Linked DNA regions of Lonchura striata. The protein of the gene in region 1 purifies or fractionates together with the protein of each later gene. This does not show direct contact. Links are inferred from orthologs where the notes say so. Each region holds a gene or a part of one and is shown in the gene's direction. Other genes may lie near its edges.

Region 1 (15,292 bases):
CGTGTATTTGGGACACGCCATCCAGCAGCCTGAGCAAAGCTTCACATTTAATTACTGCAGCTGAAGCTATTATGCTTGGAAACACATTACCTCTCTCCAAGTCCCCATAATGTCATTCTGATGTGTTCTATGCTATTGATCTACCTCCTGCTTTGTGCAGCTTTCCTGAGCTGACAGACAATGTCAGAGCTGTCTTGTCCAAAAGCATTCTGTTTGCATTCGCAGTTCCCCATTCTCATCCCCATTCCCATCTCCATTCCCAGTTTCCCATTCCCAGTTCCCAATCACATTCACAATTTTCCATTCCACTCCAAGCACTTTGCAAGTGCTGGGCAGGCGTTTGAACAGCTCTGTGGATGCCTGTTTGATGTGTTCCAGGGTTTCATCCTGAGCTAATGCCAAGGTTCTACTCTATGATATGGAAATGCCAAGGTAATTTCATGCTTTGTAAAGCTCTATGAATATTTTTAATTATGACAAAAGCGCCATGGAAATGAAGATTGTTCGGGGTTTCATCGTTGCGTGTAGTTTTGTGTGGCTCTAATTTCATAGCAATTTAGTTCATTTGGCACTTTGAGATTTGTGGGTTGTCTGGAAGCAGAAGAAAGTGAACCCCATATTGGTCATGGGTTTGATAACCTTGGCTAAGCTAATGTGGGCATTCTTTTGCACACTGCTAGCAGTGAGGGATTTTCTAATCTTTTTTTTTTTTTTGCCACCCCTACCTTGTAGACTGATAGTCTCAAGGCTCTGAAGTGCCTCTGAAGTACAGGATTTCCCCATGCTCTTCCAGTAGAATTCAATGCCAGCCTGTAAGGACCATGAGGGTCAGAGCAGAAGACAACGTTAGTTAGTCTTTGTCAGCTCAAACTTTGGGTTCTCTTCAGAACCAGTGGGAGTTTTTCCTTGTCAAATCCTTTCAGCCTTGTAGTAAACTTAGGGCATCAGATGGTTTCCTTTAGGACACAGGAACTGAAGACAGCTCAGGGTCAGCTTTTGCTAACTTCCCCTGACAGCACAGCTACCTGGCTGCCTTGCTCAGCTCTGCTGGCTTTCTTCTCATTTAAGGGCTTGTTCAAGGCATCAGGGTAGGCAGAGCAAACCATGGTCCTGGCATATTTTCACACCTAGCTTTTTCTCTGTGGGCTGTGAAGGATCATTCCTGGAGATGAAAGTCATGTTAGAAGACACAGTTGGCTGCCCAAATATATTAGATTGTTTTCCAAAAAAAACAAGGTGTCCTATGTCTGCTGAAGTAAAACATGCAAATCCTATTAGTGTGAGAGTGTGTTAGCTCATAATTGATGTATTTGACATATTAGTGTGCTAATTTATGTAAACTGGGTAGTCTGTGAAAGATGACAATTGAAAAGGAAAGTGGGCTATATTTAATTAACATTGTGCGAATAGCTGTGTAGTGGGTCTAAAAATTGAGAGGGAATTTTATGGAGATGTCCTAACACTTAAGTTTGAAAAAAAAATTTTTTTTCCCCTACCTACTCTTGGCTGTCTTTCAAGTGGTCTGGAATGAGCCCACATATAATGTACAGGAAGGCAAAAATGAAAAAAATAATCATGCATCATTCTGTTCTTTGTGTTTAACAGTCTTTTTGACCCCTGAGATTTTGAAATGATAAAGATTGAAGTTAAATAATAAACATTTTTGCCTTAGCTGGTAAATCTACAGATTTTCTTGCTATTTCTGTATAATAGGTAAAATTCTCTTAAATCCTGCCAACCCACTTTCTTTGGTGATTAGAATACCTGACTGTGCCAAAAATACATTTGCTGAATCTTCTCTTTTCTCTCTCTCCTTTGAACGAAATCCACCCCCTAGGAAGTAAATTGTTAGTGAATGAAATGGGATTTTTTTCTGAATACATTTACGATTTCAAGCCATTTTCCCCATTCTCACATAGCTGCAGGCCCCCTTTCCACACGGAGTTGCTTTCAAAATTGTTTACTCTGAGTGGCCAGTAATTGGCACAATTAATCAAACGGTGTGACTGATTGCTTTAGTCAGGTCTTGTTGCCTGATTGATCAGCTGGGGTCTTCTGATACTATAAAAACATATCTGAAGTGAAAAGGCTGCTTAGTGATGCCATTTGGGAAATGGCAGTGAAAAGGCACTGGTGTAAGGCATGCATATTTATATTACATATTTATGTTGGGATATAGTACCCCCATGCCATGGAGAGAGAAAAAAAATTCAGCACAGATGCCAGGGAAGAAAAGGATGTTATCTGTGCAAAATTTCAGCTCCTACTGCAAATTTCTTGGGAGAGAAATGTTGTTTCCTGTAACTATGACTCAGATTTCTGTGAATCAATAGAGCCTGTGAGGGTCACAGGAAGTCAGTATATTTCAGAGGTGAAAGGTGCTAAAAGGCTGTGACTGACTGGAGCCCCTTTTATTTATTTTATTTTTTTTTAATAAAAAGCCTGTATGGTTCTGCAATGGAAAGTACAGTGGAATTACTGAGAAATGACCCCCAGAAAGATTTACCCATCTTAAACAGAAAGAAAATAATTTTTTTTCACTTTTTGTCACACTTTTTTTCTACTTACATAGCTTTATAAGTTGCTGAAGACAGTGAGAAATTCCTAACCAGCCTCTTTCCCCAGTCTTTGGCCTGCTTAGATCATTGACAAAAATGGAGAAGCAAGTGGAAGAAAACACTGTGGATGCAATACAAAATAAGAAGAATTAGAAATTGCAGTGTGGTTTATTTTTATTTCTATCAGCCATATCTGCTGACACTGGAGAGAGAACTATAAGAGTAAAAGGGACATTTTGATAACAGACAGGTCTGGTCAAATACTTAATATCTCACTAGAAAAATAAATATATGAATAATTTTTATCTAGAATTATGTTCACAGAACTCAATCTGTTTCTCAGGCATCCTGTAGCATCCAGATACCCTGGGACAGATAAATGAAAGTGAAATACACTGTTTAAATGTTAAATAATCTCATCAGCCTTGTGGGTATGCTTATTCCTTCCCTTCTGGAAAAAAAAAAAAACAACACAAAACCACAAAAACCAACTCAGTGCCTTTCCATACCCCATTTCAGTGCTAAAGGAATGAAACATCAGTCAAAAATCTTTCATATGCTTATTTATGAGGAAGAGATTCAATGTCAAAGACAGATTTGTGACTGCTTTAAAAATGAAAATGACCTTTTGACTGCTTCTCCTGCACTGAAAGACTAATAAGTGTCTGGAAGTTGATCAGGTTGCACATCTGAAGTGTGTCAATCATTCTTGTTAGGAAAAGACAGATTTTTAAAAAAACTGACAGCTTGTTTGTTAGGGGGGCACACTTTTAGAAGTCACAGGGCCCATACTTATCAAACTGAAATCTAAGATAAATTTGCACTTGAACATATAAGTGCCAACCCATGTACATTATTCTAGCCACCCTTTGCACTTGTTTTTGTTATTGTTTTATCCACTGCTGTCATTGAAATGAAATGACTTTAGGTGAGAAGACATTTAAAAAGGATCTGCACTTTATTTTCGTAGGACATTTGTCACTGAAGAATAACTTTGCTTCCAAAACTTCTTGGACCAGGATGACTTTTACTTAGAGTGAGTTTTTTTATAAACCTCTTTTCATGTCATGCTTATCCAGACTTGCGGAGGCCTGTAAACCTTCATATAATTCTGGGTTTATACTACAACTAGGAGTAAAGGCTAATTTACAGCTTTTTTTTTTCTGTAGGCTAGGCAAAGTTGGTATATCTGACAGAATATTGCTCTGGGGTTTTCAGGGATGAAAAGGGAAGAATTTGCCATAAATCTTAAATCAAATCTGTGTAAGGTACCAGCAGGAACATTCATGCAAACATTTGAAACCATGAAACATTTGATTCCTGTTTTTCTTTGATAATCTAGGGTGGTATATGGTAATTAACACTGGTTTAGTTAGGATGATGCATTAAATAGCTGATTAAAGCAAACACCAGTGTTTTAATTAATCAGGCTATTAAATAAAGGTAAAGCTCTAGCACTGTAACTAATACAGCCTTCAAGGGGGTGATGAGTGACCTGAGAAGTTTTTGAAACTGTGTGTTTGATGTGGAGTCCTCCTCTCAAAATGTGAGAGGATTTTCTTTAAACCATTTTTGCCTTCTAGGGCTGTGTCCTGTAATGCCTTGAAATACTTTATCATGTTCCTGCATACTGCACATCAGAATAAACAATAATTATAATCATCATCAGAATAAATAATTCCTGCCCAGCTTTTCCAGTAAATCTAGTGAGTAGAGACAGGACCCTGTATCAAAACACCACATTATGCACCTCTCAATCAGGCTCTAAGTTCTCTGCTTCACTGTGATTCTGCCAGCTGCATTCAGAGAGAACCAAAGTCCCTTAAGGCTGCTCTGACAGGTGCCCACTGCAGCCCAGAGTTTGTCACAGACCAAGAAAAATTAGGATGTCTTTCAATTGGAAGAGATCCCGAAGGAAAAATGAGAGATGTTTGTAACGCAACATGGTCCTGTTATGAATCCATGCTGTAGTGGAGGAGTTGGGCTTCCATAATCCTTGTGGATAGTTTGCAATGCCCCAAAGGATGTTTGATGAGTTCTGGGGAAAGGTGGCAGAGCTCCACAAGTGTCAGATTTATGTGAGTGAAGGGAAGTCTGACATGGACTGAAGGACTCTGTGGCCAGCGAGCTGCTCTGCATTGCAGGAGCTGCACAAGTGCAAAGGTCAGGGCTTTCACTTGTACAGGGCTGCCTTAGTAACTGGGAATGTGTTCCAGCTTCTTCCCTGAAGGTAGAAGGGTCAGAACCCTTCTGACAAGAAGGGTTTCTTCAGGTTTCTGAAATGTAAAGAAAAGGGGAAGGGGGGGAGGGGGGGGGGGAATTTAGTTCAAATCACCAAAATCCCAATATCTGATTCAGAAAAAAACATGTTTGACGCCAGAACAAATGTTCCCCATCTTTCCTGATTTATTTTTATTTTTAAAATTTTTGTCAAATGCTTGTGTGTTTTTCATCCAAATAAATGAAATTCCAGTTGGTGAGGTATCCTGCTGAACACTTCCTTTCCCCCTGGGCCCATGGAGAGGGTTAAAGAGCATCAGTATCTTTTACTAACTTCACAAATTATCCTGTTTCTTCTTCCCTGAGTACAAAAAAGTTATCTCATTGTCTCCATTTTTAAAGCTTTGTTGGTGTATTAATAGACTGGCTGCTTTTATTGTTTAGATTCTAAAAACAAATAAGGGCGACTCTGTTTTTATAGATCTTATTTTTCCCTCTGCTCTGTATTTTTTTCCTGAAGAATTAGGTTCTATTTACAAACTGGAATCTTCCAAAGCACTGTCCCTTTTTGAAAAAGTTGAGTAATCTTATACCCCCATAACTTAAAGAGGATGCAATCCTTGAGTTCTCTTGGCTGCATTTTCCTCAGCTTCAACAGCCAGATCAGAAAACTTTATTATCTTGCTACTTTATTGAAGGTTTCATTGCAGAAATGTTTCTCAGTTCTTTTAGCTATTTTTCACTCTCTTTGATTCCAATAGTGTTGTCCTGAGGCTAAAATGCTACTAGAATTTTCTACTTTTTGTTTTTCCTTTTAAATATCTTTGATCTTTAGCCTTGCTTATGCCATCATCATTTTAATGTCTAAATGTTTGTAAATACTGGAGAAGAAAGAAGCATAAAATACAGTCCTAAGGACAAAAATAATTTAAGTTCAATTTACTTAATAAACAAGAGGTTCCCAGCCTAAAGTTCCATCTGCAGCTTTCAAATACTGGCAAAATTTTGGTTTCCTAAAGAAATTCACATCTTTGTCTTTCAGATAACCTCTCTTCATCCTAAACATGAATACTGAAGGAAATTTAGCTATGATTAACCCCTTGTATACCAGTTTCAGATAATGCCTCAAACACTAACAGAGTAGTGAATACCCAAGAGAAGTCTGTGTCCTTCACTGATAGCATTGAGTACATCTTTAATGCCCACAGCTTCTTATAAATGAACATGTGGATAACATTTGCCTTTTGGATTTCTATATTTAGGCTTTGTGCCAATGTCTACACAGGACCCGTATTTCTCTTTCGCTTTCTGGATTAATCCCCATCAAGTATTGCAAATCTTTGCTCAAGGGCCCATTTCAGCACATCCCTCTCTGGCTTTGGCCACTTTGAAATCAAGCTTTTGTTGACTGAGTGTCCAAATTATAAGAAAATCAAAAATATGCCATGTATAAGCTGGGCAGGTCTCTGAAACACAGATTCATTATTGTCCAATTTAGCAGTGCTGTTAGAAAAAAGCTTTGTAATTGTTTGATTTAAAGGACGTTCCCATGAGACTGTGATAGAGTTCATCTTGCCTAAATGATTTAGAAAATCTGAAAACCATCCCAGGATCTACTTTTAGCCACTACTTTATTTTTTGAAGGAAGAGTGAGTGACCCATTACTCTAAGTAATGGCAGTACACCTAGACCCAAAGTTGCTCTGAACAGACACAGCTGTTTATTACACTGGCAATTATATTTTGTTTTTGTTATAGCTCTGGTAGTGTTACCAAAGATACATCCTAATTTATACTGGTGTGAGTGAGAGTGTGGTTTGTGACAAAAGGGATTCTGAGGTAGTTTCTTGTGAGAACCCCAGCCTTGCTCTGGGGTCTCATATGGTGGTGAAATTCCTCCTCCAACCTGTGCTTCCAAAGAAAAACTCCGCAGTCTCTTGTTGTTCCGTCTCAAGATGATTTATTGCTAGTTATCTAACAGATTATGTTATTGGGCTGTGGCTGTTTGGTCAGCGGCCTGGGCAGAGGCACACACACACACCCTGACATCCTCTCTATCTGCTGTCTTCTTCTTCTCTCTCCCCACCCAGGGCTGCTGCTATCTTTTATATGATATATTACGTATTACATGTTTATAGTTTTCCCCCAATACCTACTATCTATATTACAAAGTGCTTTTCTACTCTAAACCAATCTGTGAGTGCCAACATCACCAAGAACATGGAGGTAAGGAAGAAGAAGGAGGAAGAACAGGATCAGCCCACTTTCCTCCATCTTAGAACTTCTGACCCCCATGTACAAAGTAAAAACCCCCTTGTACATGTGCTAAAAGCCCCCTGTACAATACTAAAAAAATTTCCCCTCTACTTTGTAATTACTTTTACTATACTATCTAACCTTTTGTGACTGCTTGTTCCACCTCCAAAGTTGGTAACTCATTCCATGACTCAAAATCACAGCTGTTTTTCAGCTGTCTGCCAGGGTCTAGAATGCCTCTGACCAAGGCCTGGAACCTCTAAAAATGTCTGAGAGACATTTTGAGTTCCCACAGTTTCTCACTTTGGAAAGACTGTTTTCATCGTGGTGGTTGAATGGGGAAGGTCTTTAAGTCCTTTGGGATTTTGTTTTGGCTCCTCAAAGTGTGGTTTTTTTTTTTTTGGTTTTTTTTTTTTGTTTGTTTGTTTTTGTTTTTTTTTTCTCAGAGAAAATCATCTTAAGCAAGACTCTTGCTAAGAGTGTTTGGAGATGGCTTTGATTAATCTGCAGGCTCGCTGGGTGGGATGTGGGGGGAAGACAGAACAGGGGAGGTGACCTGAGTTCTCTCAGTACCCCTCGCATCCCTGGTATCCCCGAGTATCTTGTGGGACAGAATGAGGTCTCCAGTCTCCATCCCTTGCAGGTTCAGCCCTGTACCTTGAACATTTGAAGAGCTGTCCAGACGAGCACAGCCACAGGGACTTTGTGGGTACTAGCTCCTGCAGCTGTAGCTCCTGCAGCCTCCTCCCAGTGCCGCTCCGGCCGCTCCTTGCCCTGCCCCACCAGACACCCGCGGATGCTGGCGGCATCTCTGTGCCCCGATCGCGGCAGGAAAGCAGTAGCTGGGGAAGGGCTGGTGGGTGAGCGGCGGTCAGGATGGCTTTTTGTGCTTCCTCCCAGCGGGGAGCAGCTGCTGTGACAAAGGGGTCCGGGGGCAGGGCGGTGCGGGCCCGAGGGCGGCTCCCGGCTCCATCTCCCACCTCCCAGCCCTCGCCTTCCGCCGGGGGCTGCTGCCACTCCCGATCGCCCAAACTCCTGGGAGGGGAGACAGCACCCGCCGTCGCCTCCTCTTCCTTCTCCTCCTCCTCCTCCTCCTCCTCCTCCTCCTCCTCCTCCTCCTCCCGTCCTCTCCCCGCCGCAAACCCCAAATAAAAGGGGCGGGGGGCAGCAGGATGCGCCGCTCCGAGGGGAGGCCGGCGCCGCTGCCGGCCGCCTGATGCTGCCGCAATTCGCCATTGCCGGGCACGGCTCGGAGCCGAGCGGAGGGAGGCGGGGGGCAGAGCCGGGGGTCCCGGGGGCACAGGAGCAGCAGGCGCCCCTGCCCAGCCACCCCCGCAGGCCGAGGCCGCCGCCGTCCTCCCCGATGCCCGACCGCCGCCGGCGGGGGGCCCCGGGGGCCCGCTCTTGTCTCCTCTGGCTCTTTGTGTTGCTGAAGGTAAGTGCCAGGGAAGGGGAGGGCTACGCACCCCCTCCCGCGGGCCCCGAGCATCCTCCGCGCCGCCTTTGTGTGCCCGCTCCGCTTTGTGCCCCGCGGGAGCAGCCCGGGGCGGGATGCGCCGCCTCTGCCTCCCGCATCCCGCCGAAAGCGGCGGCAGCCCCGGGGAGCGGCACCGAGCCCTCTGCCCGCTGCCGGTGCCGGGGAGGGCGAGCGGCGTTTTGGGGAGCGCTGCGCTGTCCTTCAGCACCGCCCGTGCCCGGCCGCTCCCTCCGAGCGCTCGCACCTTCATCCCGGCGGACCCCGCTGATGGAGATGCCGCTAACAAAGGGGAGGATGCTGGATGGTGCTGGGTTTATCGTGGCACAGCTGAGCAGTTCTGTGTTTCGAGCTCAGCCTGTCTTCTCGGCGGATTCATTTTTCAAAGTTCTGCCTCATACCGCAAGCTTGGTTTCATATGGCGTTTCACATGGCGTTTCTCATCTTTACGCTTTAGCTCATGTCATGGTTTCTTAGGTGTATTTAATATGCTTCGTGTAACTTCTAAAAGAAAATGTATGTGCTGCCCAAGTGAATACTGCTGGGTGTAAATGTCATTGCCCTAAAGAACAGCGCTCAGCACTGCTAAAAACTTTGTTGTATATTTGTCAGTCACTGTTAAGCAGAGCTCTGCGACTAAGGACCTGACCTTTCAGAGCCTTATAAATGTAAATGTTCTATGGAAATCATCAGGACTCCCTATGTGAGTAAGAGTTTGCAGGATCATGTCCTGGAACAGCAGTGGTGTTGCTTCTAAAATTGACATTGCATTGACAGAACTATTTAAGGGAAGCTTTCACAGCATTTGTTCACATAGAGTAATCAACTGATAACAGTCTCATTTTCATAACTGCTGAAACATACATTTATGCAAGATAAAATGCTAATAGACAGACAAAATTTTTTCCATGGACTGTGGTCATTTAAAAAAAAAAAAGTATGCTATGGCCCAGTAGAAAGAGAAAGTTTATAGTTTTTTCATAAACATACAAGTGCACACAGTTTTAAGTAGCTGGTTTATCCCACAATCAGGGAATGTACATTATTCTATGTCCTAGCGGGTTGTGGTTTTTTTGTTTGTTTTTTTTTTAAGTTAAGGTGTTTACGTACTGTTTTTTTTTTTTTTTTTTTTTTTTTTACTATCATTGTTGTGGTAAAGCGTGACAGAAAATAGGTAATTTAAATCTGTATTAAATGAATAGTAAATCTGAAGTAACTGGATAAGGTATGAAGGTAGCCAAGGGCCCAGGTTGTCATTTTGTTGGGAAATAACCATCATTCCCCAGCTGAGTAAACCTGGGACTGGGAGGACAAAGAAAGCTGATGAGCATTAGCAGAATTTTGTAGAGTGAGAGAAGGTTAAGCTGCATCTTCAGATAGAGGTGCATCAGTATCTCCCTGTATGACTGGATTATGACTTTCATTGGATAGTAAGGCCACTGTAATTAGTTATCTTTGTATTGGTATTGAACACTACAGTAAAAGAAATGAGATTTGGAGTGATAGTCAAAGTAAATCTGGTTACAGGAGAGAAATTGGAGAAGTAAAAACAGTGTTTGTTTTAGATCACCACAAGAGGACCATTTTCCTGAGCCTGAAATTCACTGAATATTCTTCAAAATCTGTGTAATTATTTTCAGTGACATATAATTAAAAAGAACTCATTTCAAAACAAGGCTTTTCCCCAGTTTTGTTCTGTTTAGTTCTACCAACCTGTTGAAACAATATTAAGATTAACCAGACTTGATTTATTAAATTGGTGCTTCACCTGGAAGTTAATCTCATTGAGAAAGCAGTGGCATTGATCTGATGAATCCGAAGACAGGCAAAACTGATGTCTGTGTGCTTGCTGTTTCAGTGTTAGCAGCCCAAATGTCACTTGCTAAGCTGAATCTGCTTGATGTGGCCTTGATGCCCATCTGGCAACTTGTAAAATCATCAGCAGACTTTGCAAAGTGATAAAGCTGCTCAAAGCACATTTTCTCCTCTCTTCTCTTGTCTTCCAATTTTCAATATTTCATGGTGTGAAGTAATAGTGCCAGTTTATTCCAACTCCTTATACTCTCTGAGGCTGCTGGGTCAGTGACAAGAGGAGATCAAACAGGAACATTGCCCACTGCATGCCATGTGCCTGATTCAGTTGCCCATGGGCTAGTAAGGTTTAGTTCCTTCTTTAACAGCGTGATGTGGATGCTTTCTGTGCCCCAGGGTAGGAGCATAGTGTTAATTTTGGAAATACCACAATGTGATCTTAAACCTTTACCATTCTCATTCTTTAGCATTTTTTTTTATGTGATGGCTAATTTAGAAATTAGCAGAAGAAAGGCATTGTGTGCAAGCTCAGACACCAGGATGGATTCACAGTACTTGGAAGAGGAGCAGGGCTGTGGGTTTTGCTTCAGAGAAGACTCCAACCTTGCTGCTGTAGGAATCTCTTAAAATATTGCCATTTTGCAGTGGGTCTGTGTTCTCTGTTAGTTTGTTTCAGTCAGAATGGCTGGAAGGCAGAGTCTTCAGCAACTTGCTCTGTAATCATCTCATTTTGGCATGGCAAAGGCAGGGCTGAGCACAGCCCAAAGGAAAAGCTGTACTTCAGCTAAATAAATAAGAATAAAAAGTAGACACATTCCCTCATTCCAGTGACTGATGTAAGTTTCTCATATTTTCTAACTGCAACCTAGAAACCTTCCCTTAGTCATAACTGCACTGAGCTCTGGCCAGCTGAAGTTCTGCTCTGGATCATGTCCCTGATGTGTCAGATATCCCACATTGTTGGTGGCTTGCACCTGGGAGCTTTAAGGTTGCTTTGTTGAATTATTTCTGGGGTAGACGGTAAAGCTTAATTAGAAAACAAAAGCATCTTGAACAAGCCAAACCTGGTGCTGGGACATGGTTTACAAGCTGTTCCACCTCCAAGTTGTTCTAAGAAAGCCTCTCAGTAGGAAAATAATGAGAAAACTGGTTGTCACATTGCTTCCATGTCTGGGCTAAGTAGCAGTCATGACACTCTTCAGAAAAATTTTCTATAAGTAAAATAATGCATCTCTTATTTCCAGGAGATTGAGGTCTTTGTATATCATATGCTCTTCATTTAAATCAGCACCACCCTCTTTCTTTCTCTTAGGAAGGACAACGTCTTGTGTCTATCAGGGTAGAATTTTGTCCAATACTGCATCAGTTTTTGTAGTTCATAGTGAACTCTCAACTCATTTTTACACGGGCCAATATATTCAAAGAGGCTGAGATTCTGTAAGACTTTACTCAACCTTACCCAGCAAAGGAAATCTGTTTCTACTGGTGTACTTTTCAGGTATATATACATTTTCAATTAATAATCTGAAGTAAAAGCCTTACCATTAGGGTGCTGCCTTTTTCTGCAGGAAAAACCTTTTTAAGAGGGAGGCTGATTTCACAGCTGAGAGCCCCAGTGTGTGTCACTGCTGTTTCCTCCTGCTGGGAAAAGCAATGAACACATAATTTGAATTTTGTTATGGAATCCTTTTGGCATCTCTTCTCTCTCCAAGAGATGGCAGCTGAAGCTCTGGTTGAGACAAGTTTGTCTTCTTTCCTCATGGTCATGTTCTGCTAGTGTCAAAATAAAATAAAGAAAGACCCAAACCTACACTTCCAGCTCATTTTTGTTTGCAAAACAAATGTAAGGGATCCTCATGATGGGACAGGCCCAGAGGTAAAAGTCTTTTCTTCCTACCACTGCTCTGGGACTGTCCAGCCTGTATGGGAGAGAAAAGCATCCTCTCAGGAAAAGCAAATACTTTTCTTTTTTAAAAAACTAATTACAAACAGTCACCCTCAGCTCAAAACTACTACAAATCATGTTGTCTCTTATATCTTCATTTTCATGGATAATATCTAGATCAGGGTCATTCTGGAGGGCAAAGCCAAAGAAGAGGATGCTTGTGCCAAGTCATGTTTACGGAACTGCAGCAGGCACTTACAAACCCCTCTCTGCCAGTGAAATAAGAGTCTTCCATTACCCTTTGGCAGACTTCCTTGTGATGAAATGACAGTGGACCATTGAGAAAAGATCTTTCATGTCTGCAGGAGTTATGAGCCCCAGACTCAGATTGCACAGGGTCAGTAAGGCAATTTCTAGGTTGTATCACCTGGGTCAGAAGCTGCAGTCAAGGGTGATCCCTCATCCAGGCTGAGATGGGCTGTGCTGAGAACAGGCTTACCTGTGGTGATCCATGGCAATTCATTAAAGGGCTCCTGGGAAGTGCTGACTGAACTTGAGAATCCCACTAATCTCTACATTTCTGCTGTCACCACACAGAGCAATCCAGGCAGATCATGAAATGACCTTACAGAGCTTCAGATTGTATGCTAAACTGAACAGAGCCTTGTGTAAATCCATTTTGAGACTTATTTTACCAGACAGTCTCAGCTCTAGGGAAGGGAGCATTTTTTTTACTTAGGCATATGAGTCAGGACAATAAATGTCAAAAAATAAACCTTTGGAAGCAGGTATCTTTGCTGAAGAACTTAAAAGATTCATAGCTAACTTTGATTCTAAGTGTTCTTTAAAATTATTTGCCTTTTTCATTGGAGAAGTATGCATTGTCATCCTGAGCAGTCTTCTAGTAAATTAGTGATTCCATTTTTTTTTACTCAGGGTTTTAAAGATTCTCTTCTTGAGGCAAAACTTAGTTGTTTGCAACGTGAAGAAAAAAACAACTTTAATAAATATTAAGAATATTCTGAAATTAAAATCTTTACACAGACTTGAGTACCTACAAGTGCAGTAATATAAATTAAGAGACTGGTTTATTAGATGTTTCACATAAGAGTTGTAACTTCCTGGGTTTTTTCCTTACTAAATTTCTGTCGATGTAGAATTGAAAAGGGGAAAAACTTTGAGATAAATGTGGCAGCATATGCTAGCTGCCACATATGGAGTATAACAGATGAATAGAGAATGGGAAATACTGGAAACAGAAAGGTTACCTTGCTTTTCTCAGCACTCTGCAATCTCAAATGAATGGCAGCCAGTGAAGGGAGCAATTCCTAGGGAAGGAGTTTGCCATCTTTACAGCAAGCCAAACATGATGCATTGCATTTCTGGAACCCCCTTATTCTTGTGCTGGGAAATTACGGTGGCTTTTAGAGGGAGTTCCAGAAATAAAATTATATGCATGGTGTCTGGCTTGCCATAAAGATAGCACTTTGTATCAGGGCTGTGATGGAATGAGTGTGGCAAGCTCTGCAGTCTCCCTTCTTGATGAATGCAGGTATTTAGGGAAGAAATGCTTTACAGTAAGTGTGGGTGATAGAAAAGTTGGTGTCATAGCTGACAGCACCAGGGAAGAGAGTTAGCAGAAGTTTTAAGCTTAAGTATGCTGGTCTTGAGGTGATAGCATGGACATGAGAAGAAAATATGTGAGATATTTGAACAGGTAACATAATATTGGGGGTGGCAAAATGTGAGCATGGTATTTAAGCACAAGCATTGAGCAGTTCAGAGGAGCTGAACAGAGATAATGGAAATAAACAACTCTGAGATATTATTCTATTTCAGCCCAGAGATTTAATATGAGGTAGCTGTTTGTAGATATGAACCTCTTAGGGGATAAAAATCCTAAATTCCTTGCTAAGTTCTCTGTAAAAACAGATAAGGTTGCCTGTCAATCTACACAGTTGTGATTTTGAAGTGATTTGGCCTCAGCACTTTTCTTGGTTGATGAGACAAGAGCCTTCTTGTCTTGTCAGAAGGGTTTGAACAATTGCAGCTCCTTTGTGTGCTATAAACCTGCAGGTCTTCAGGTTAGCGGTGTTGATTTCCAGCTATATCACAGGAAGGCCAAGTCTTTGGAGTAAGAGTGGTAGGTCCCAATCATTAATTTGTCAATCTGATCAGCAACTCCTTCAAGTTTAAGGGCTTTCAATAATTTCCTTGTCACATCCCCTAGAATCAGCCATGGAGGGGCTGTTCTTCAATGCTGAGAGGAGCCCCCAAAGCAGGCAGACTTGTTCCCTTTGTGTAATTTGCTTTCTGTCTTTTATCTGCACCACAGCTATTCTGGATCATTTCCTATTTGCTCATATGGAAGTCCTTTGAACATGGCAAATCTTCACTCCTCACTGATCTATTAAATGAAAAGGAATGGCTCCATTCCACTTACAAACAGCAAAGAAATATTAAATTTGAGAAAGGGGGAAAAAGCCAACAAGACACTGGAAAAACCCACACACTCAAAACCCCAACATCTATTACAAGTGGTGAAGAACATTAGAGAGAATTGGGGAGAAAAAGAAAAAACACATGGAAAGAATGCTAATTAGTGTTTTCCTAAAGTACTGCAAGGCAGATTTAAGGAAAAAATGATCATTTTCCCAGAGCAATGAAATGAATTTATTTATTATTTGCTTAGCACTACTGTGCCTAGCTTTGTTCTGTATGCAAAATACCTGCAGACTCTGCCTGGAGTCTGGAAGATAGACACATCAAAATAAGGATGCCCTAGATAACTTAGAAGTGGTTATCATATATGCCAGTTGCTGGTATTCTCCAAGGGCTGGTATACCTTCCAAACAGAAGTCACAATTGTTTCCCCCAGGAGCTGAGCAGAGTGGTTTTGTTTTTTGTTATTTGTTAATTTTTCTTTTTTTAAATTTGGCATTGATTTCTACAGGATGTTGTTCTTCAGAGCTTCTGGACGTTTACATCAGTTTAAAACATCAAAAATAATTAATAATCAATGTGGTTTAATCCTTTCAGAGGGATCCCATTAACTTACAAAAAATGCTCTAGCTCACAATAGTTTCAT
Region 2 (14,883 bases), on another chromosome or scaffold:
TGGTGTTTGCTGTAACTTGTTCCAGGAAGCAGGGATCACACTGGGACTAGGACTCTTCCATGGATGATGGTGATTTCCACCTCTGAACCTGTGCCAGCATGGAGGTAAGTGCAGAAACAGCTGACAAGCCAAGCACTGGCTTCTTGGAAGAGCAGCTGGAGTGAAATGGGTTGGAAAAGGGTTTAAGGGTCGTTTCTGTGGGAATGGACTGACAATCCTGCTGCTTAATTTGTGTATAAAGAAACCAGTGCCTACAGGTGTCTCATTTTTCAGCAGAGTTCAATTCCTAAAAGACAGCCAGCATGCCCATGCCCCAAAGTCAAGGACATGACTTGTAGGCACAGCCAGAGACTGACTGTCTTCAGCAAAGCAAGGACCATCAGTTTGGAGACAGAAGCACACTTCAGCAGAGGAAATTGCACCCTTTTCACACCTGAACTTTGAAACATCTGTGTGGGGGAATGAACATCTGTGGGAGTAGTGGTTTTCCAGGTCTGTCTCCCTACAAGGAATTTGGAATCACTGAGTTGAGGTAGGTTGCAGTCCTGTTGATCTGTAGGCTCTCATCAATTCCAGTCCACGTAGCAAACTGCTACAAAACTTTGTTTCCATTACTCTGAGGGCAATTTGAGGGGCAGATGATAAGTTTTGGATGACAATATTTAAGTTTATTTTGATAATTTGAAGGAGAAAGAATAAAATCAGAATGAGTGGTAGCAATATTGTTCATGGTAGAATTTGGTTCCTAGGCTGTGCTCTCCCTATAGGGTCCAAAATGGGCAGCACTGGGAGCATGGGAAACTTCTGCTGCATCAAGAGGGGGACACCTGTTGTCACTTTCTTTTTGTTTCTTGTTCTTCCCTGCTCATGTAAATGAGCAATGACTACTGAAAATTATTGTGAGAGCTGGAAGACAGCCTTCTGCCTCTTCAGTGACATTTTCTCTTAGAAAAAAAAATATATGAAATGAAATTCAAAACCCATCATGCTAAAATGCTGTAGACAACTTGCTAAATCTTCATTCAGGCAATTCCTGTGAGCTTTTCTGTCATTTGATAGTTGTGTGGCTCTGTTACAGAAAACTTTTTGATGTTCTGTAAAGATTTCTAGTGCCCTTGGCATTTCAGAGGAGATATTTGTGCACCTGCTACTTGCTTCCCCTTCTGGGAGATGAACGTCACAGCCTGCCCACATTCCCCAAGAGGCTTCACTTACTGATGAGTGCTGTTACTGTAACAGCTCAAGTCAGCACAATTCTGAAGTAATGTCATGAATCATAAAATAAGCACCTCTTCTCTTTGCCAATGCAAACTCTGGGGTTTTTTGCCTCTTTCTAGAACTGCCAGTGCTCCCTGACTCTGCACAGGTGAGAGGCACAACATAAGAATCTTAGACAAAGCTTGGCTTCTCAGCCTTCTTAACCTTAGTATGCATTTAATGCTATTAACGGTAACATCCTTCTTAAATATTTAATGCACTTCCTGGAAGCTTTTCTTTTCTGATTTCATACCTGTTTATCCAGCCGTCCTTTCTGCCACTGGAAGCAAATACTCCCCAGCAAGCGAACCTTGCCCCTGTGCCACATCCCTTTAGCAGCAGTGCTCCCTCTGCCCCCTGCACTCACAGCTGGCTGCCAGGATCACCCTAGCAGCTGAGCCTCACAGAGCCCAGAGGTGAAAGGCCCTTAAAAATTCAACCTGGAGCTGAAAGACAAAGCAGACTTCCTCTGGACAGTCTTTCCTCTGCAGTGAAGACAAGCACATTGGCCAGGATTTCTGGTGGAGCTGCATAAGCCAGGACATGGACTAAGGAGAAGCTGCATCTTCCAGCTTAACTAAAACAAAACACAGCCCTACCTCAGCTACAAAAGCCAGCAGGAGCCTTCACCATCCTCAAGTGCTTCACTGCTTTTGAGCTTGAATTTCTTTTCCCTGAACTTTGAGTTAATCAGTAGAAATGTTGAGGTTTTCTGTATTTCACAAAGGTTTTTCCAACAATTACTGCTTCCAAAAAGGCGTCTGTTTACATGTTGACATAAAAAATGTGTTTTCTTTTTCTTGTTCCCTTGGCTGCAGTTAGTTAGTTCATGTGGGATTACAATGGTAGCACAGTAGGATTTTGTTTGTCTTTTCCTTGAATGAAATTTTGTTGAAAGTGTAAACTGTAAAAGGCATTGAAATTAGACAAAATAAAATCCATTTTTAAAATGAAAAGATGGAAACATTTTGTTCTCTGTCCCAGCCTCAGAGGTTTTGTAAATCTTTGAAATTCAGTGGCTTCTATAGAAATGCTTAATCTACAGTTTTTCATCCATGGAACAGCTTCCTCCATCTGCACTAGAAAGGGTTGAAACCCCCAAACTCTGGGGGATTTCACTCTGCTAAGAGCGAAAGTCTTCCCTGGTTACCATGTGACACAGCCAGGCAGTACCTGTCACCTTCCTTCACCCATGTCTGAAATACCTGAATTTATACCAGCACAAAATAATGCCTGGCAAGGTGTGTGGTCCTTGCAAAGTGCCTGAAAGGCAAAATTTGCCATTGTGACCTTCTTATTAACTTGACACTCGGCATTAAATTATGGAGGACTGGTAAAAACACCAAACTCAAATCCCTCCTGATGCATCTAGCAGGCCTCTGGTCCTTGGTGACACTGTGGCTCATGGATGGTGAAGTTTAATCCACTCTCCCTTTTTTCAGAGGGTTATTTTCTCTCTGCTGCATTTCCTTCCATGTCTAATGTGTGGTAAAAAAAAAAAAAATTGAATATGAACTAAACTACAGCATCTGTGATTTCTGACTGGGGTTGAGATGATGTTAAGCCTGCACATTCCTTTTCCAGATACCTCTTTGCCTGATGTCGAGGTCTATTAAAATATACAAAGAGACCTGGTCAAAAAAGAGTTGAGGTGGGGAATATTTCTCCTAGGCAATTAAATGTTGGGTCCAAAATAGGTACAGTTTAACTGTGTACATTAATAACTAAACCTAGACTATCTGATTCCATGAACTGTTTGATTGCATCAGGAATTCAGTTTGACATCTCTGAAAGTTATTATAAAAGATGCATAGGTGTTCTGCGGAATTTTCAGAATTACATTAATATTTACCTGCCACTGAAACAGATGTCTAGAGGTTTTTCCAATCCCATTGTTGCAGCGTGAGGCGTGCTGGGTGGCTGCGGCGGGGGCGCGGCTGTGCCCTGCGAGTGCTGCAATCCCAGTTATCGGCAGCTCCGGCAGCGACACACAGCGATGGCACGGCTCTTGGGGTGGAACAAGATGGATTTATTATTCCTGGGCTCCCAGACAAGACTGGGGCCGAGGGGGGTGAACAGAAGTTTTTATACAGCAGCTCAGGAGTAGGGATGTAGGAAAGTGAACTAATGAGGATAAGGTAAAGGAGGAGTGTAAGGTGGGGTAAATAGCTTGCGAGACTATCAGGGAAAATGGGGAGGGAATAATACAAAGTAACAAACGGGGTGTCGAGGGCAACAAGACAGACACAACTCTCTGGAGAAAGGGGTAGGGATAGGGAGGATTCACAACTTGGAAGGGAGGAAGTTAGGAAAGGGCTTGGGAAATTTAGCATCCCATGAAGAACTAAATTATTTTAAAAGCTGCCTGATGTAACGTACATGGCATTTTTACATTTTTATTCTAAAATAGAAGCTAATCATCAAAACAACAATTCCAATCCATGCCTACAAGTTCTAAATAACTTCCTCAGCTTCAACTTACACTGTCTAAACAAAAGCAGAGTTAGGCCTGAACCTGATTATTGCAAATGTTGATCAGGAGTCATTAAAACAAAGATACCAGAGGCAGGTCCTTATGTTAAGGGGAAAAGAATTAATGCGAACATTGGTAACACCTCAACAGTGTAACTACACAGGAAAGTTTATCTGGCAGATCACTTACAGTGAGTGTTGTTGCCTCCCAGCACCACTGAAAACATGTGAAAAATCTCAGTTGATCAAATAGAAATGCAGATTAATTCCTCTGGGGTTCTGAGGGGAGATCCCTTGCTCTTGAAGGATCAGCATCAGGCAGGAGAGTGGCTGAGAGATGGTGACAGTGACAGACACAGATCACCAGGACTCTGCAGAACTTCCCAATCCTCTCTACCTCAAAGACCAGAAATAGAAGACAGCAATTAATCAACTCTTCTCCCCCAGATGAAAAAATCTTCAATTTAAATACAAAAGTATGTGTATGTTAATACTCTTTTTGTCAAATGTCTTCTGCTTTTTTACTTACTCTGCTTATTCTTACATTATGTTTATATCTACTGAATGCAAAAATCTGAGTAAATTATTTTGATTATCTAATCCTTAAGCAATTTAGGCTCAGTGATAAGAAAATGGAATTCTATAAATTTTTTATCACTTGGATTTCTCCCTGGGTGACATATTTTATCATTATTACTCCTGTTCACTGTTTGTATGAGGCTTAGGGGTCACAGTTGGAAGAGCTCTGTTGTAAGGCATGGCAGTAGAGACAAATGTTTCATCTGAAGTGAGGTTTATAACCAGCTGTTCCACAATGTGAAGTGAAAGAAGGAGACAGAAGAAAAGCACGCAATCTTTGCAGACCTTATTGTCTTCAGCTACTCTGTTGAGGTCAGTACAGTTCACCTTAATTGACATCAGAGAAGGGACCAGATGCAGAGAAAAGTCAATGCAAGAGCTCATGTGGGCTTGTTTCTGTATCAGGTACTAATGGTTTCAGAACTGTCCCTGTCTGTTTTGCCTAAGGTTTGTGTTGGTCTGGGAAAGAGCCCAGGTTTTGCTGCATAATCTCCATAAATCAAGGGCTGTCTATACCAAAAGATGCACCAGTGTGTTTTGGGATATAGACCATGCCCAGGAGTTATCAGCTCTGCTACCTTAGTTGTCAATAACTGCTCCAGTCATGCAAACAGAAAGTTTAAAGAATCTTAAACATAGGCTAATATAAAAACTATATCATTTTTCTATAATCTGTTGCTTTGGGTAAGCATACACCCTCTGAAATTTTCTTGTACCACAGATTTTTAATTCCTGCATGTTAAAAGCATTTGGCACTGCTCAATCATTTTCTCAGGGAGGGCCAGGTTAAACCTACAGCTGCACCTAAGTGGAAATGGTAGGAGTTTCCAAAATGCATAAGGATGGGGCAGGTGTGTGTGTGCGCGTGTGTGTTTTGAGTAGATGAAGGCTACAGATGTGGTTACATTTTACATCCTCCCCTTTTACAGCACTGTTGAATTACTTTGTTTCTGTACATTTACAAGAATCATAAAGAGATTCCTACCAAAAAAAAGCTGATGTCCCCATTACCAAGGTGAAGCCATATAATTCCTGACGCAATTTTACCGGGAGTTTACAACAATCCACCAGAAACAATAGAGGGCCCTGTGGCAATGAGATGGTTGTTAATTGCCGTGGGTGTTAGGCATTGATGGGTTCTTTGTTGGCAACCGTTCTAACCCAATTATGTGTCTAAAGTGGGACTGAAAAGCATTGTAGGGAGCACCATGTAAACGGCACTAAATGCACTGAGACTGAGCGACCTCCCATAAAGACAGACAGGTGCCAGCTAAAGCCCCATATGATTGATTTTCCACGGCTAAAATGGCAACCACAGACATCTGGTTTTGCCCCAGTTATAAAAACAGAAGCAAAACTGGGGTGGAGAGTTTTGTTTCCCACAGAAAAGGGCCAGCATTCGTGTCCAGGGGCCTGCACCCCACCCAGGCGCCTGTGACCCCGAGTGGGCTGCCCCTCCCAAAATTCCAAATGGCTCAGGATGGCTCCCAGACCCAACCTGCCACCGCCCAGGATCAGGGCTGCCCTGGCAGTGCCAAGCATCTCCTGCAAACTGACATCAGGAAACTGATTGTTGTTCTCTTAGAACAGTAAGGCTGCTTAGAATGATGTAAAAATATGGTATTTGACTATCAGTGGGGGAGTTTTTGCTTCTCTGTGAGTAAAGCTTTATACCTCCAGCACTAGGAATTGAGTTTTAAGTCCTGAGGAAAGCACACTCTGTGTGTGCATACGCATATATGTGACCTGTGTTTAAGACTTGGGCTTGTTGTAATGCTGGCCTGGCATCTAAGTCAGAGATTTTTCTCAAATGTAGGTATATCTATGGAAAACAGGCCAAAGCCAGCACAAAAAACTAACCATTTGATTGAGTGGTATCACATGGGCAGGAAAAAACCTTGCAGCTTTAACACTTGTGGAAGAGAGAGTCAGCTGAGCATCTTATGATGTTTGCACTACCCAGCAACACTAATGTGCTTTCTAAATCATCTTGTAATATCAAGTCCAGTGTTTTAGTTTTTTGCTGTTGCAAGGACAAAATGCCATTATTACAAAGATGTAAGTCACGAGGTGGGAGCCCTTCTACCTGTTTCCTTGTCACTAAGATCAAAATCTTTTGCTTTTTTGAATTCCTTTGAATTACTCACAGTTTTGCATGGGACTCACGCAAGGCTGGGATGTGGTACACGGGTCAAACCACTGAGCAGTTTCAGAGGTAAAAGAACTGTGTAGGAGTTCAAGTGTCCTTTGTCAATGGCCACCTCTTATTGAGGTTTTTTTGGGGGGTATTTCTTCAGTTTGCAAAACTATGCAATAAAGGACAGTATGTATGTTAATTTATGCAGGTTTTTTCTGCAGAATAGAGCTTAATAATTTCTTAGTTATAAGAATTTTGCAAGAGATTGAAGCACAGAAGGTGAATTCTGGGATGCAAAAGCAAAGATGTTATGTTATTGCTACAGCTTAATGTAACAGCAACCATTGCTAGTTCTTCTTTGTGTAGTGTTTATGCCCTATAATTAGAAACTATATTATGTCCTATAATTAGAAGCTCTAATATAATCCAGAAATTACTGGAGCTGCAATGCATTATCGTCCAAGTCACTTCACAAACATGAATTCCCTTTGTTTTCCAACACTGTGTTACTTTTCTCTGTAAATCCCCCAAACGGCTAGATATTTACTCCATTCTAAGAGGCAGAACTGCAGGGAGGAGCAGACCTAAATGTGCCGCCTGCCAGCTCTGAGCTAGAAGTGGCCTGAATGGAACAGCAGGGGCTGATTGACCTGACAGTGCAACTGCGGCTCCCCGAGGCTGGATCTAAACACTGCCCGTACCTGGCTGTGACTCTGAGCCGGTCTGTCTCTGACACTGCTCTCGCTGTGAGGACATTTGTCCTTCCTCTGATAATAACTGAACGGTCCTACCCACAGCGCCTTTTCCGTCTAGGCCCTTTAACAACCCCTCAGCCTGACCTGGCTGTAATTTTTCATACAGCCCAGACCACGTTAGACGAGTGACAGACAGTGGCAGTGACAGACCTGGCCTCTCCTCCTACGTTCTCAGCAAGGGCAAACTGCAGAGTGGTGCCAGCGCTGTCCCGGGGGTGCCCAGCAGCCGGAGGCGACACCTCTCCGTGGGTGACACCTCTCCGTGGGTGACACCTCTACGGGGGTGACACCTCGCCGGAGGCGACACCTCTCCGTGGGTGACACCTCTCCGTGGGTGACACCTCTCCGGGGGTGGCACCTCGCCGGGGGTGGCACCTCGCCGGGGGTGACACCTCGCCGGGGGTGGCACCTCGCCGGGGCTGGCACCTCTCCGGGGGTGGCACCTCTCCGGGGGTGGCGCCTCTCCGGGGGTGACACCTCGCCGGGGGTGGCACCTCGCCGGGGGTGGCGCCTCGCCGGGGGTGGCACCTCGCCGGGGCTGGCACCTCGCCGGGGGTGGCGCCGCTCGGGGCCCGGGGCCGAAGGCTCAGCACAGCCCCGTGAGGGAGCAGCGCCCGCAGTTCTCCTTCGCGTCCTCACCCGAGGGAGGGAGGGGGGGGGGCGCCACGCCGCGCTCTCTGATTGGCTAGTTCCCGCCTTGCCGGTTCGCTATAGCCCAATGAGAGCGCGCGGCGGGGCGGGCGGCGGGCGGGGATTGGCTGAGCGCGGCGGTGGGCAGGGCGGTCGCTGGGCCCGCGCGGGGGAGCGGAAGCGCCGCTCTGAGGGCGGCGGTGGCGGCGGGGCTGAGGGGCCGGCGGGGCCGGCCGGGTGCGCCGCGATGCGGGGTGGCCGCCGCCTCTTCCCGCTGCTGCTCCTGGCGCTGCTGCTCCTGGCGCTGCTGCCCGGGCTGTGCCATGGCAGGGAGCCGGCGCCGGGCGCCGTGACTTGCGGCTCGGTGCTGAAGCTGCTCAACACCCGCCACAGCGTACGGCTCCACTCGCACGAGGTCAAGTACGGCTCCGGTGAGCAGGGCCTGGCCGCGGAGCTGGAAAATGGCGGGGCACGGGCTGTGAGGGGCCGAGGAAGCGGGGGGGACAGGTGGTGCCTGACAGGGAAATGGCGGGGGTGGGCAGGCAGTGAGGGTTGTGGGGAAGGTGGAGGAAGTTGGGTTTTCCCGAGGTTGATATCCTTGGTGCAGAGGGAAGTGGCAGGCCGCGGTTGGGGTTTAGGGCTGGGCTGGAGACACGACAGAGACAGAGGGATGCTGAGGCCTGTGGGATAGGAAGATGTGTCAGCTGCTTTCTGGGCCCTGGAGTCGGGATGTGACAGGGCTGCTTTGCCCTCGTCCCCTGCTCAGTGTCAAGGCCTTCAGCAGTACCTTCCAGTGTCTGTTCTGACAACGAGGGTGCTGGTCTGTTGGGGAACATGAAGACCTTGATAGTATTTTTGATAAAGGTGGGATGGTGTGAATAGTACCTGTCATGGATAGGATTTTTTTCTTGCGTTCACCATGAACTTTGACAGTTTGCATCTGCTAACACATGCTGTGTTTCACTGCATCCATCTGAAAGATGATTTGGTACCTGCGTTCCTTTTGCAGTCAGTAAATGGACTGTGAGAATTAAGCACTCGTAAACATGAAGGCATGACAACATTGAAGCAAACTTCTGTAGTTTTCTCGTGTCTTTTTGAACTGGGGAGGCGGGATAAGTCTTGTGTCATTTAATTCTATTCAAACAGGAAGTGGGCAGCAGTCAGTGACAGGAGTTGAAGCTTCAGATGATGCCAACAGCTACTGGCGGATCCGTGGGAAGAGTGACAACAGTTGCCAGCGTGGGACACCTGTGAAATGTGGGCAAGCCATACGACTTACCCACGTTAACACTGGGAAAAATCTGCACACTCATCACTTCCCATCACCACTCTCCAATAACCAAGTGAGTTGGTTTAAATCTTAAGCTTTTGTACAAGTAGTGCATGCTATTGACAATAGTCTCTCCAGTTACTTGGGTTTTTGGAGACTCAGACTTGAGTACCAGCTACCAGCAGCAGTATGTCTGTGCATATCCAGATTCAAGTATAGGTTTTTCTGCATCTTAAAATGATGTATTTCAGTTCTTGACAGAGGCAGTACAGTATGTGCCAGCATTGGTATTTCACAGTACTTTTAACAAATCTGCTTTTTTTTCTTTTTCTGCACTGTTGCTGCTGGGAAGGCTGTTCTGAAATGTCGGATGTTTTTTAGATGCAGGTGATTGAGTACCTCTCTCAACATTGTGAAGATTGCTCTAGAGCCAGGCAACTAGTCATGTGTTATAACATTAGGCATTCCTATGTCCATGTTCCTTGGTGATCCAGTCTGTTAATCTCATTTGTCTTCTTGCTATCTCTATTTCGTTACACTGTTCGTATTTTTCTGTCCTCCTTCCACAGGAAAACTGAACTGCTCTTGTAATCATACTTAAATACAGTTTTGTACCTATCTAAAAGAGTGTAATTTCTAACCATAATTCAGCCCCAGAACAAATACCTCTCCAGGATGGAAGATCTATTGTAAATAATGCAGTTGTTGGAAGATTTTTGTTATTAGTCATGTCAGTCTTCCATCAGGCTGTGTAGATAGGTTGTTACATTGAAACTTGGACGATGTGACTCTTTGTGGAATAATTTTTCTTCCACCATGAGTAAAGTGGCTGAAGCAATAAGGTTCAGCTCTGTGTAGGGTATCTTGATAATCTGATGATTAAAAGTGATGGAAAAATAACATTTCAAAAGAATTCTTTAAGGGAAATTTTACTCTGAAACCTTCGTCTGGGTTTCATTTTTCAGTGTAGACACTTTGTATCTTGTCATTAAGGTAAGAATATTCAACTGTCATTGTGGGGTTTTGATTTATTTAGAGTTTTTCCAGTACTTTTTGCTCAGAGAACAGGTTGGAGTTTGTTGGCACTTTGTGTTCAGATTGTCTGGTAGAACCTTACTGCTTCTGGCTTAGGTAATTGTTGACAAAGCAAAACAACAGCATTTCTTTCCCCATCCTTGTCTTTGATCTCTGCTGAGTCTGTGGTTGATGTCTGTGTGTCCTGGAGGTGTTTGCTTACACTTTCACTTCAGGAAGCTTGTGTCTCTAACAGGAAGTAAGTGCCTTTGGGGATGATGGCGAAGGAGATGACCTGGATTTCTGGATTGTGCAGTGCAGTGGGACTTACTGGGAGCGGGAGGATGCCGTGCGCTTCAAGCACGTGGGGACTGAGGTGTTCCTGTCCATCACGGGGGAGCAGTACGGCCACCCCATTAGAGGCCAGCGGGAAGTTCATGGCATGCCTGCTGCCAACCACCACAACTATTGGAAAGCCATGGAGGGAGTCTTCATCAAACCCAGTCTGGACCCTGCAAAACATGATGAGCTCTGAATTGACACGGGATCCAAAATGCTTCGTTTGACTCCAATGTTTGGAGATGCTAATCCTTGGTTTCTTCTAAGTCCTGCCTTGCCTAAGTAACTGATTTTCTGTGTTACTGAAGGGCATTAGTTCATTCTAGGAATGCAGCACTTCTGTGGGGAATGGCTTCTGCCAGGTTCAGCCACTGACATTTATTTGGTGAAGTCCTTTCTGAATTTCCAAGCTTTATTGGTGAAACTAGTTCATACATCTGTTAGGTTTTGTTGTCATTTGTTTGCTTGTTACTTTTTCTCGAATTCAAAGAAAATGAAAAAATGAAAGTAATACTTTTCTCTAGTCTCAAGTACAATAAATCTTTGTATTTTGTAATCTTTTTCCAGCTGTAATTAAATATTTAGAAACTGATTTCTACATCCTAGTGAAAGAATGTTATTGATGAGGAGATGGATTGAGTAGAAATGGAACAATTGTTCTGAAATATGGTGTTTTTTGAATGACTTACTCAGCTATTCAGTCTTTGAGTTAAAAAAGTATCCATTTGAAAATTGCATCCAATGTCTTACGAGAGTTTAATTCTGTATTGTATTAGAAGACTTGAAAATATAGTGTATGTTGGAGTAAGAAGACAAAATTTTAATAGTTGTACTTTGTCCAAGAAATTCAGTTGTTCTAGTAGTGATGGTACAGCTGATTGTCCATTGGTAAGGCTGCTCTGCTCTATGAACAGGTGCAGAAAACTGCTGCTTGCTTAATTAATATTAGAATTCTACAGAGTTTCTTATGGTGTAAAGGAACGGTTAAATTTGGCTTCTGTGTCACTCTACAAGATCAATATGACAATCCAAGTGAATAAATAGTGAGGCATACACCTATGTGGGCTTTTTTATGTGTGAATCCAGAAGAGCAAAAAAAATCTGAGACAATGGTTTGGTCATGGATTTCTGACAGAGTGGTATGCACTGGAGTGTTAGCAAGGAATCTTCACTGAACAAGTTAAGAATTTCTGTGTTCCTCTCTGAAAATAAATTAATTCTTCGCATTTTTTACACAGTGTTACTGGAAATATTGATTAAAATTCAAAATACCATGTATTTGTGATTCTGTATCAAATTGAAAAGCTCACTGAATGAGCGAGAAAAGTCAGAACATTCAGGTGTTCTTGTTTCCATGTGTAAATAGTTTACTGATTACTGTGCTCATTAGTCAATCAGTCAAAGAAGCAGGAAACTGATTTGCTGCTCTTACAGCTCCAGTCAGGAGCTGCAGTGTTGGTGTTATGTTGAGAGGGTGCAGTAGGCACTTGAGTTCAGCTTTACAAATCCACCGGGCTGCTCTGTGCACTTCATGCAGGAGTCCAGCCCAGGCTGGCTCCAGGCTTTATTTAAGGATATCCTGCTAGGGAAGATCTGTCCAAGCCCTATGGAACAAGGAACTTCTGTGACAGCATTTCTGGTGTACCTTGCTATTTTTCTTCAAAGGAAAAGGTAAGAACATTTTTTTAGTAATTTTACTTGCATGTATGTATTTGGGATTGCAAGGCAATGTAAGGATTGCAGGCATTTTGGAGATTAAATAGACTGGCTTTTGCTGTTTTGTATTAGAAGTAAACTTTCCGGTGATTAATATTTCAGGTTCACTGATACTCCTGACTAATTGGTATTGAGGTTATAGTTATAAAAGGATAATTATTTAAAAACAAACCAAACCTGCATAAACAAGATTTTCCCTTTTTAAGGAGAGCTTTTCTTTTGAACGGTCTACACATAAGCACAAAAAATGTGATGGCACTTGACAGGAGGAAGAAATAGTTTTGGCAATGAGTTCTCTAAGTTCACTAAGAGCTAAAAGGCTTTGTGCCTACACCATATGGGCTTAGTGTTTGTGCACCTGTGGAATACTAAACTGGCTGAGAAGGGGTAGAGCTGTGGGGCTCATCTTGGTCTGTGTGCCAGGTAAAATCCCCACCCAATGATTGTATGTGCCTGGATGTTTCTGTCCTTGGCAAAGGTGGTTTTCAGTCTTATTTATTATGCTTGAGTGGGATTTCACTGGACCTTTGACTTTCTGTTCTGGATTTGAACCAAATTCATTTGGTGAGGGTGTGAAAAAACTTTTAGCCTTTATTGCTTAGTTTATTATGTTCTGTTCTGAAAAATATTTGCACCTTTTGTTCCTAAACCAAGCTGCCACACACAAATATACCCTTGAATGCCTTATTTAAAGACATGTTCAACAATATCCCTGTGTACTGTTTCTTCCACTTCTGATTCTGACCAAAGTGCATAAGTGACTTAGCCCTTATATTTCGCTTGGGAATATGTCACAATAGTTGGGGGCATTTTGTTTAGTTGGGATATTTTCCCCAATTTTTATCACTGTAAGTGGTTGCCTGAAGGACTCTCAAATAAGGCTGGTTGAAATACATGTTACTTTGGAAAGATGTAATACAGTACTCCAAGAACTACTGGTACTCCTAGCATGCTGAATTCTGGCTACAAAAGTCATGTTAATGTAGCAAGTACAATAATTATAGCTGTGAAAAATGATGGCTTGTGGTCATGTGCAAGCACTGAGATTTCAGAGTGTGAATCAGGTATTTTTATTTACTTTGTCTGCTCATAATTCAACTTTTAGTCTTGCCCCCATGAGTAAGGATTAGACACTTGGAGAATCTGTTTCTGTATTGCTGTATGGTGGTGTTTGTTTTCCATATGAATTTATTATCTGCCTAAAGCTCTTGGGGCTCTAGGGTAAAACATGAAATGTAGCTATAAAAATTGGGAATTCTGTTTTATTTATTTTTCTTTATTTTAAAGTGATACAGAGAATTTTGATAGGCGGTATAAAATGTATTTAACCTTGAAAAGTTAAATGAAACCTATCGGTTTTGACTTCTGATGCTAGCAGGAAATAATTCTTTCAAATAACTGACAGTTGCTTACCTGTTTCTCACTTTTTTTACTACAAGAACTCTGAAAAGCTGCACCAATGTTACTTTGTACTCCTCCTTTAAGAAACCAGAAAGGCTTTTGGGGAATGAATTAGAAGGCTCTGTATTTGTAATTGTTCTCAGCGGGAATAGTTGCTAGTCAGTCTTTGAAATCTGTCAATAGTGCATTTTACACATATATCTATATCTAGTTCAATATGAAATGACAGAGTTTCTTAGATATGTTAATTTTGGAGGTGTGTGCCTACAGACATTTTTACTCTGTTTCTGGAAATTCTTTAAAGCTCTGTACAACTGCCCTGCATATGAACACTTGCCACACATTTTGACTTTTTAGTCAGGATGAATGAAACCTGGGTTTAGTTCTTCCAGTGTTCTGGAAGGGCTGTGTTGCTTACTGATTCTTCATTCTGAATCTTGAGGCTAAATATAAACCAGTGATTATATTTAAATGGTATAATCATAATTTAATTTATTGTGTTTAGGAATACTAATTGGGTATATCTGTTCTTATTAGGTTAAATTATCATATCATTTTAAAGAGGAAAAAAATACAAAGCAAGCCTGTAACAATGACTCTCACTCAGCAGTATTTCTAAGCCTGTTAGTTTTGCTATATCTTCTCTTGTCTTCTGCCTGCCTTCCCCAGCACTGAAGCAGTAGCTGGCACTGCAGATGCACCACATTTCACACCTGGCCTAGACAAAGGCTGAACTGTAGCAGTGTCTTCTTCAGCAGCAGCATCCTGCTGGTGTCTGACTCCCTTGGCATCCTTGCTAGCTCTTTGCCAAATTCCCTGCTGGCAGCTGAGAACTGTCAGAGAGCCTATCAGAGATTTGTGTTTGTAGGGTGTCTAATGCTATTGCCCCTCTTTCCTAGTTTTGAGTTTGCATCTGTGCCCTTTTGGTTTTGCAATTTTATCTTTAAAAACATCTCCTGTAATCCAATCCTGGGCCACCAATCAATTATCTTTGATAATTAATTGCTTCATAACGTGGCTGTTTCATCAGCTGCCTTTCAGGAATTCATGTGTTTGGGGTTACAAGACAGCACTTGTGGTTGTATCATTTAGCTTTTTAAAGAAGCAAGAAAATAAGTTAAACAGGAATATTTGAAGCTAAGGAAGTGTTTTCCTCTTCACTGTGCTTGGTTCTATCCTGTGGGGTAGGAAGCACAGGGGATGGTTTTCTTCCTCAAGGAAGAATAAAACATTCAGCCTTACCGACCTGTAGTTACATGGGAAACACAAGGCAATTTGAACATTACCTTAGGGTTTAAAATGCATGCAGG

Evidence for each region.
Region 2: the proteins of PTPRO (region 1) and SDF2L1 purify together in Homo sapiens (affinity purification with mass spectrometry; 3 studies listed by BioGRID and IntAct, with this or other methods). This does not show direct contact. The link is inferred for Lonchura striata from reciprocal best matches to the Homo sapiens genes PTPRO and SDF2L1.

Annotation. Positions count from the first base shown.
Region 1 is NC_134607.1:9,818,898-9,834,189, reverse strand, and holds the start of PTPRO (receptor-type tyrosine-protein phosphatase O), read left to right. Parts: upstream 1-8,214; 5' UTR 8,215-8,249; coding exon 8,250-8,468; intron 8,469-15,292.
Region 2 is NC_134620.1:7,198,668-7,213,550, forward strand, and holds SDF2L1 (stromal cell-derived factor 2-like protein 1), read left to right. Parts: upstream 1-8,034; 5' UTR 8,035-8,077; coding exon 8,078-8,261; intron 8,262-8,979; coding exon 8,980-9,176; intron 9,177-10,149; exon of another isoform or gene 10,150-10,373; coding exon 10,374-10,652; 3' UTR 10,653-11,734; downstream 11,735-14,883.